2 linked regions of the Rattus norvegicus genome follow. The protein of the gene in region 1 interacts with the protein of each later gene in a pairwise test. Links are inferred from orthologs where the notes say so. Each region holds a gene or a part of one and is shown on either strand. Other genes may lie near its edges. The genes, in order: Gse1 and Ralbp1.

What was found.
Region 2: the proteins of Gse1 (region 1) and Ralbp1 interact in binary tests that used the Homo sapiens proteins (3 or more experiments, as listed by UniProt). The link is inferred for Rattus norvegicus from reciprocal best matches to the Homo sapiens genes GSE1 and RALBP1.

The regions. Positions count from the first base shown.
Region 1 is NC_086037.1:65,518,631-65,522,438, forward strand, and holds part of Gse1 (Gse1 coiled-coil protein), read left to right. Parts: intron 1-951; coding exon 952-1,151; intron 1,152-3,233; coding exon 3,234-3,406; intron 3,407-3,808.
Region 2 is NC_086027.1:112,937,336-112,941,243, forward strand, and holds the start of Ralbp1 (ralA-binding protein 1), read right to left. Parts: upstream 2,325-3,908; 5' UTR 2,083-2,324; intron 1-2,082. UniProt on the Homo sapiens protein: Multifunctional protein that functions as a downstream effector of RALA and RALB. As a GTPase-activating protein/GAP can inactivate CDC42 and RAC1 by stimulating their GTPase activity.

The sequences.
Region 1 (3,808 bases):
ATTGCCAAGGTCAGGTCCTGATAGGTAATCACATGAAGAAGAGGTGTGCTCGGCTGGGACTACACAGGGGCTTTGTACAATTATACAAGTTACATACGGGCCTCAGCAGTTAGAGGCCAAAGCCGTGTTTCCACAGGTAGCAGGATTGTCTCAGGGAAGAGGGGGCTGTGTCAGTGACTGAGATCATCCCTGATGACTCTGTCCTGCTGGAGCCGACACCCCAAGAACTAATCTCTCCCCACCCCCACCTACCTGTCTCTTCTCTCTTGCTGCTGGGGTTGGTTGGGAAGGGGAACATGATGCTCCTTTCTGGGTCGATGGGGCTATTCTAGGTATAGTAGTAGTCATTCAATATGGTAGATATATTGAGGTACGTTGACAGAGGTTTTGGTTTTTTTTTTTTTTTTTTTTTTTTTGGGTTCTTTTTTTCGGAGCTGGGGACCGAACCCAGGGCCTTGCGCTTCCTAGGTAAGCGCTCTACCACTGAGCTAAATCCCCAGCCCCGTTTGACAGAGCTTTTAAAAGAGTGAATACCATCTCAGGTTTTTTTTAAAGATGTATTTATTTTATATGTATGAGTACACTGTAGCTGTCTTCACACACACCAGAAGAGGGCATCGGATCCCATTACAAATGGTTGTGAGCCACCAAGTGGTTGCTGGGATTTGAACTCAGGACCTCTGGAAGAGCAGTCAATGCTCTTAACCACTGAGCCATCTCCCCAGCCCATCTCAGATTTTTTAATGTAAAAATAGCTGCCCACCTCCATGCCTCTGAGAGGCAGTATGACAAAAGGCCAGCAAAGCTGGCTACAGCATGGCTCTGGGTTTCTCCCTGCCTGACTGCTCTTGGGCCTCACTCCCTGTGAGCATTCTGGAATGGCTGAAGTGTGGGTGCGGCTCGTGGCGGTGACACATGCAGTCCCTGAACTTCTGTGTTCTCTCTCCACAGGGTCTTCACTGAGCAGCGAGTCATCTCCTGTGTCCTCTCCAGCCACCAACCACAGCTCTCCGGCTAGCACACCCAAGCGAGTGCCCATGGGCCCCATCATCGTTCCCCCCGGGGGTCACAGTGTTCCCAGCACTCCTCCGGTGGTCACTATTGCCCCCACCAAAACAGTCAATGGAGTCTGGAGGAGCGAGAGCCGCCAGGTGAGTCGGGCAGCCCAGAGATGGGGGCGTAGTGGGAGTGATGGGACAGGGGGTGTCCCTGCGTGGAGTTTTCTGTCCACAGCTCTGGGATGGGGGCGAGTTTGGCCTCTCACCCTGGTCCTCAGTGTCTTCTGCGAGGTGCCCTTGATACACCACCCCCTGAACTGGAAGATGCTAGAATTACGGCAATTCTTACATCAGGCTTCTGACTGAGTACCACACAGACGCATCTTGGTGTATGAGGCCTGACTAAGCCTGGGGAGGGGAAGGGAGGGGAGGGAAAGGATAGCCTATGCACTCCTTCCAAGAACTGCCCCTTTACTTTAAGATGGTATCTTCTTGTGTCCTCTGGTGGCCTTGGCAATAATGACCTCTTTAGGGGTCTAGGGAGACAGATTTACCCAGAGGCACTGGGTTGACACAGACTACACACCATAAAGGGCCTGGGGGTATCTGAGCTTTGGGTCTCCAGGAAGACAATAGCTGTCACTGCTTTGCAGGAGTAGGGGATGGTACTCTTCTAGTCCCTGATCCCAGCACGGGATCTTGTGTGTCTGCAGTCTCTCAGCTGGCTCTGTGTAACCAAACTGGAATGGAGGAGCCGGTGCCCAGACCTTCCCCAGTACTGTGCTGGGCCTCCCACCGGCCTGGCGCCCAGAGGGGGCCTTGCTAATTAAGAACCGCTGTCAGCTGTGGCTTCCCCTGGATTCTCCAGCCTGGTTCCCACAGGGTTTGTACTGCTAGGAAGTACTAATTAAACCACAAAGACGGCGGAAGGGAGGGGAACACCTCCCCCCTGCTGGGCTGGGGCTGGATAGTAAGGGTGTGAGCTTCATCTGCCCCGCCAGTCTGATTGGTGACCCTGGTCCCCAGTAAAGTGCTCAGAACATCCGTCAGGTTCCTGACTGAAGGGAACCGAGACAGCCTGCTGCTGCACCCGGAGAAGGAAACAGAGTTCTGTCATCGAATTCAGTCAGCGGCCTAGTTCCCTCCCTGGATTAAGGAAGTTGTCTGTGGTGACCGGCTGGGCTTGGGAGGCTTAGCTTTGACCTCAGACAGTGAGGTCACTGATATAACCTGTCCTCTAGCTTCGCACACAGGGTTAAGTGGTGGTGCAGCAGTGACCCCTCCCCTTCGGGACTCACATATGCTTCGATGATGTTAGCTGACCAGAGGGTGTCACCACAGGCTTAGATAACCATAAGGAGACAGAAGTCCAGGAAGGGCTGGCAGGCCTGTCTCCAGGGACAATCCGTGGTACTATGCTGGCTACCATGTGCCTTTTGGTCACACCATGGGTTCAGCCCGTGTCAGCCAGAGGACCTGGTGTTCCCTAGCGAGTACTGCTGTCTGCTGGTGCTGAACCTCTCCTGCAGTGTTGAGGGAAGGACCTGAATGTAGTACCAGGGGGCTTCTGGCCCTCAGACTCTCCTCGGCTCACAGTGTCCCCCAGACTTTGCCATGTTCCCACTGGTGCCACTCCTCCTTGCCGTGAGGATTCCTCCCTAGTCACAGGCAGGCAGGGCTGTTCGATCTGGTTTCTCCGGGCTGAGTGCTGCTGTGGCTGTTTATACAGAAAGTCTGTGAGACTGGATCTCCCCATGCCCCAGCCCTACTGCTGCCTCTCACTTCATGCCTGAAGGGAGCCTCTCCTGGGGTCTCTAAGTCTATCTGGGTACAAGGGTGTCCCCATGTAGGTCCAGCAGATTGCCAACCACTGGCAGTGTCCAGAGAGCTGCGGGCACAGGCTGGAGTCTTGGGAGAAGCTCTGTCCTAAGGTGCAGGTCCCCAGGGCGTTTTTGCTTGCAGGAAGTGGGGGTTCCTGCCCTGCGGATCCTCTCAGATACCTTATCTTGGGATTCAGCAGTCTGCTGTTTAAGGTTTCCCCGGCATTGCTGAGTTCCTGTGGGAGCTGAGCCAGGGCCTGGTAGACCTTGGTCCAGACCTGCTCACGGGAGGTTTTCTCCCTAAGTATCTCTAAAATATATTAGGGGAAGGATGCTTCTAGAGTATGAGCTAAACACAGGCCTCTCTGAGGACCTGGCTGGCTCCCCAAGACCTAACTCTGTCTTCTTCCCACAGGACTCCGGCTCACGAGGCGGCAGCAGCGGTCGGGAGCGTCTGCTGGTGGAGCCGCCTCTAGCCCAGGAGAAGGCAGCGGGCCCCGCCATCCCCTCCCATCTACTCAGCACCCCTTACCCCTTTGGCCTCTCCCCCAGCTCAGTTGTACAGGACTCCCGCTTCCAACCACTCAAGTGAGTGCCGGGCTGGGGTCAGGGAGGGCTCCAGATAGGTCTGAGGGTTTGCACCAGCTGAGGTGGATGCGTGCTGTTAGCCTCTGTGGCCTGAGCTGCCCTGAGGTCCTTGGCTCCACCCGAGCTTATGGTCCACCCCATGCTGATTGATTTATCACTTCTCGTCCTAACCCCATTTAAGCCCATCTCTGGGCCTGGGGACAAATAGCCCCTCTAGTGTCAGTATCCACTGGTGGGGACCTTAAGGAACAGATAGGTCTAAGGGACAGACAGTTTCCTGTCTGTGCAAGCTGGGCTCATGCCAGGCTATACCTCACTGAGAGGCAGGACCTGATCCTGACGGGAGGTGGGCTGGCAGGGGCAGCCCCGAGCTGCTGAGGAAGTGGGACACGTTACCTCTGC
Region 2 (3,908 bases), on another chromosome or scaffold:
TGAATGTGGCTCTTATCCTCCTCCAAGTTCTCTCTACTCCTGTATTCTAAATAATCTGCATTTCCCCCATGCTCTGTCTCACATATATTAGCATAAAGTCTATCAGAGACTTTCTTTTTCAAAGAAAATAATAGCTGGACACATATCTAATCCCAGCACTTAGGAGCCAAAAGCAGGAAGATCTCTGTGTTGAAGCAGCCTGGTCCACATAGGGAGGTTCCAGGCTAGCCAGGACTTCACAGTGAGACCCTGCCACCCCCATCTACCCCCAACCCCAACACACAAAAAGAAAATAACAGAACATACTTTGGGATAGTGTTCTGTAGTGTTGTGGACCTAATCTTCTCTTTGCCAAGCTATGACTATGCAAATTAACTGTACAAAATAAAGTTAATATTCATTTTTTTAGATTTGTATTATCTTTAATTACAGGGGGAGGTGAGCCACTGCCTGTGAAGACCAGGTGTTGGGTTTCCTGGGAGCTGGACTTACAGACAGTTGGGAACAGTTTCTGGGGAGCAAACCCTGTAACTCTCCAAGAGTCATACTGCGAACGTCTTAACCAGTGTGCCCTGTCTCCAGCCCCAGTACTCAATTTTTAAAATACCACTTCTGTCTCTCTAAATTATGAGGAAAACGGTCCCTGTAAACTTATGAGAAACCACCGTTTAAAAAGACAGCAAATTCAGTCATCTTACCTTGTTTCTAGATACTCTGTGATTTGTTTTTTGAGACAGGATTTCTCTGTTTAGCCCTGGCTGTCCAGGAACCCTCTCTGTAGACAAGGCAGACCTGGAACTCACAGACATTTTCCTGCCTCTGCCTCCAGAGTGCTGGGAATAAAGGTATGTGCCACCACCAGCCGGCTTCTAGATACTTTGTTTTAAAAATTATTTAACAGCAGCTGCTATTAAACTAACCTATCTCTCTCCAATCTATGGGACACACTGAAAAAGTAGAAGCTCCAAACCCCTGTAAATGCCAACACCACTAAAAGGAAGTTATTCATTTCGAGGAAGATACCCAGGACCTTGAAATCATCGATATAATTCCTAGTACAGAAAGTGATGGGATCTTTCCTTTCCAAGTGCTAGCACCTGAACACTAAATCCAAAGTAGGCCTATTAACTTATCACTAAGGTCTTGGTCAATAACTGCCAGGTATGAGTAATGCTTCCCAAGCTACTCAGTGGTAGCCCACTGGCATTCATTCCATCAACACCACTGAGGCTGGGCAGTGGAACAGCTCGATGTACACAGTGTATAGCACACTTCTGTCACAGGCATAGACCTCCAAACGAAAACGGCTGTGATCTCCAATAACATTAGGGTAACTGCGCTGTTCTCTCTGGAAGAATCCTTGTAATGATCCCCAAACTTGAACCAGCACTACTTCAGAAGACTGGGAAGTGGAATATTTTGTCAAACTCTGTTTCACTGCGACATATTTAAAAGACGGGAAAAAGAAAGCTGGCCTGGACTAAGAACACTCCGGCATGAAAACGCGTTGAGAACGAAGCTCTCAACTCCAGATCTGGCCGAACACTTCCACTGAACCCTGAAACAAGGACCGCTACAATCAGGGTCGCCCCCCTGCCCAACGCAGGCTACGAGCCACAGCAGGAGCTGTTCCCCGACTCCACCCCGCTTGCGGAGACAGGTGGGCGAGCCAGGTGAGACCCATAAACCGGAAGACTGCGTCAGGCCAGTCCCCCGCCGCAGCTCCGGCCAGGTGTGGCCCGCAGGGATGCCCCGCGGCCTGGAAGATCCAAGGAAGCAGCTGGGCTCCCAGCTAGCCCCTGGCTCCCACAGCAGCACAGGACACACCGGGAGGTCCCAGGGAGGCCTGTCCGGCAGGCGGGGTGACCCACCCCAAAGGAGCAAGCTCGGGGAGTGAAGCCTTCGCGGACAACGTAAGGCGGGGCAGCCACGCCCCCCACCCCCAACTCCAATTCCGAGCCCCGGATCCCAAGCCCAGCACGCTGCATGACAGGCGCGGGCGCAAGGCCGGGCGCCGGACGGCTCCCACAGACACCACTGCAGCGCTGCGACCCCCGCGAGCCAACGCTCCCCGCCACTGACCAGTGCCTGCCGCCGAGCGACCGTCCGCTCCGCTGCAGCCGCCGCCTCCTCGCACTCACGCTGCCGCTACAACCGCCGCCTCCTGCGCTGCCCCCCTGGCCGGCCGCGGGAGCCCCATTCCCACCCCGCCCAGCCTCCGCCTGTTTACAATGATTGGGACAGAACAGGACGAGCCGCCCAGCGCGCACGCGCACGCCCTCCTCCCGCCGCAGCCGGCTTCCCGGGTCCTCCGATCCTTGGCCGTGACGGCTAGGGGCGTCTAGGGCAAACGCCCCTTGTCCTCGCACGGGGCACGCCGGGAGTTGTAGTTCTTGTAAACCCGCCACCCCCGCCACTGCAGGCCCGTGTCTCGGACACAAACCACAACACCCAGAAAGCATCGCGCCTCACGAGATGGAACTCGTTGGGGAAACAGGGAACCCGCGAGAGGATGCGCCAAGCGCTAAGGCTCTGCAGGCGCCTGCGCAGTGTCCTGGGGACCGAGTGGAACACACACCTACCGGAGCGAATCCCAGTGAAAACAGTGTGGGATCCCTGCGGAGCTCTGCAGGAAAGAAAGCGCAATCCTCCCCAAGCTCTGGCCGGGTGTCCGCAGCTATCGAAAATGACACTTTCCCCCAAGCGTCTGCGTACTTTAGTGGTTCCGACCAGTTAAACCAGCCTGGGCTGCCGACCCACCCCGCCTCTGGGCGGAGCACCTTGCTGGCCTTCTTTGGGCGGAGATCTTCAGTTGGAGAATTCTTGCCTTGGGGTTTGGAGAAAGGAAGCTTTTGGGGCCTATGCGGGGAAGTCCGCAGGATCCCTTTAGTGTGTTGGCTTGCGGGGAACTGCTGACTCCCACCCACTTAGCTCAGCAGTTAGCAATCAACCCCCGAGTTAAAGCTGCACAGCATCATGTTCAGCTCGCAAACAGAAACAGCTGAATATCCTCCCGAAGTCCTCCATGAAGGACTGAAGGAGTGTTCTCCGGTGTATACCGTGATAAACAGCAGTCCTTTGAAGTATTCTGGGTTTATAGCATTGGCAGTCAGAAGAGAGATGAGATTTCTAGTGTATGCTTCTTTCCGAGAGCCATATGGATTTCGATGATCCGTCCTGTACTATGCCCCCCAGCCATCTTTCCTCAAATATGACAAGTCCGTTCCTTGCGCAAGAGTCACCCTCAGTGGAACACTGAGGTCCTAGAGGGATCTTTCCAGAACCCCTGTAGCAATAAAACAGCCTCCAGGAGAAGCTGGCCTGTGAGTATGCCAGTTAAAATGCTCCTTCCCACTGGCAGTTCTGATATGGCCAAGGGATAGGCACTGGTCTGAGCAGGGCTTTATGAACCCTCTCCTGACATTGACATATAAAATAATGAGGTGGGGAAAGAGGCGTTCTTTACTGAGTAATTCACCGGTGGTCATATTTACTGCAACATCACGTGGCCTGTCCACTGGAAGTGAATGAAGCTGAAAGAGAGTTAGGGGACACAGCAAGGTAGAGGGAAAAGCAAGAGCGGTCAGTTAGAGTGAAGACTGACTCCCTTCTGAGATCCTTAAGTGCTGTGTTTATGTGAGCCTCAGCGGGCGAGCCAATCCAGGAATAATCTTTACACACTTTTTATTATTCAATTGTGCTAATGGAGGTATTTACAGGGCTGTTTCTCAGCATTTTCCCCTCCCACTTAAGGAGCACCACAGAACCATTTACTCTGGTAACTGTTTTAGAAATAAGCATCATGTCCAAGCAGAACCCACGAACCCACAGAGACAGATGGAGGCTTCCACTAAACCGCAGCTTCCTTTCTTTTCTGGTACAGTGAAGTATTTGAGGTCTGCAAATCT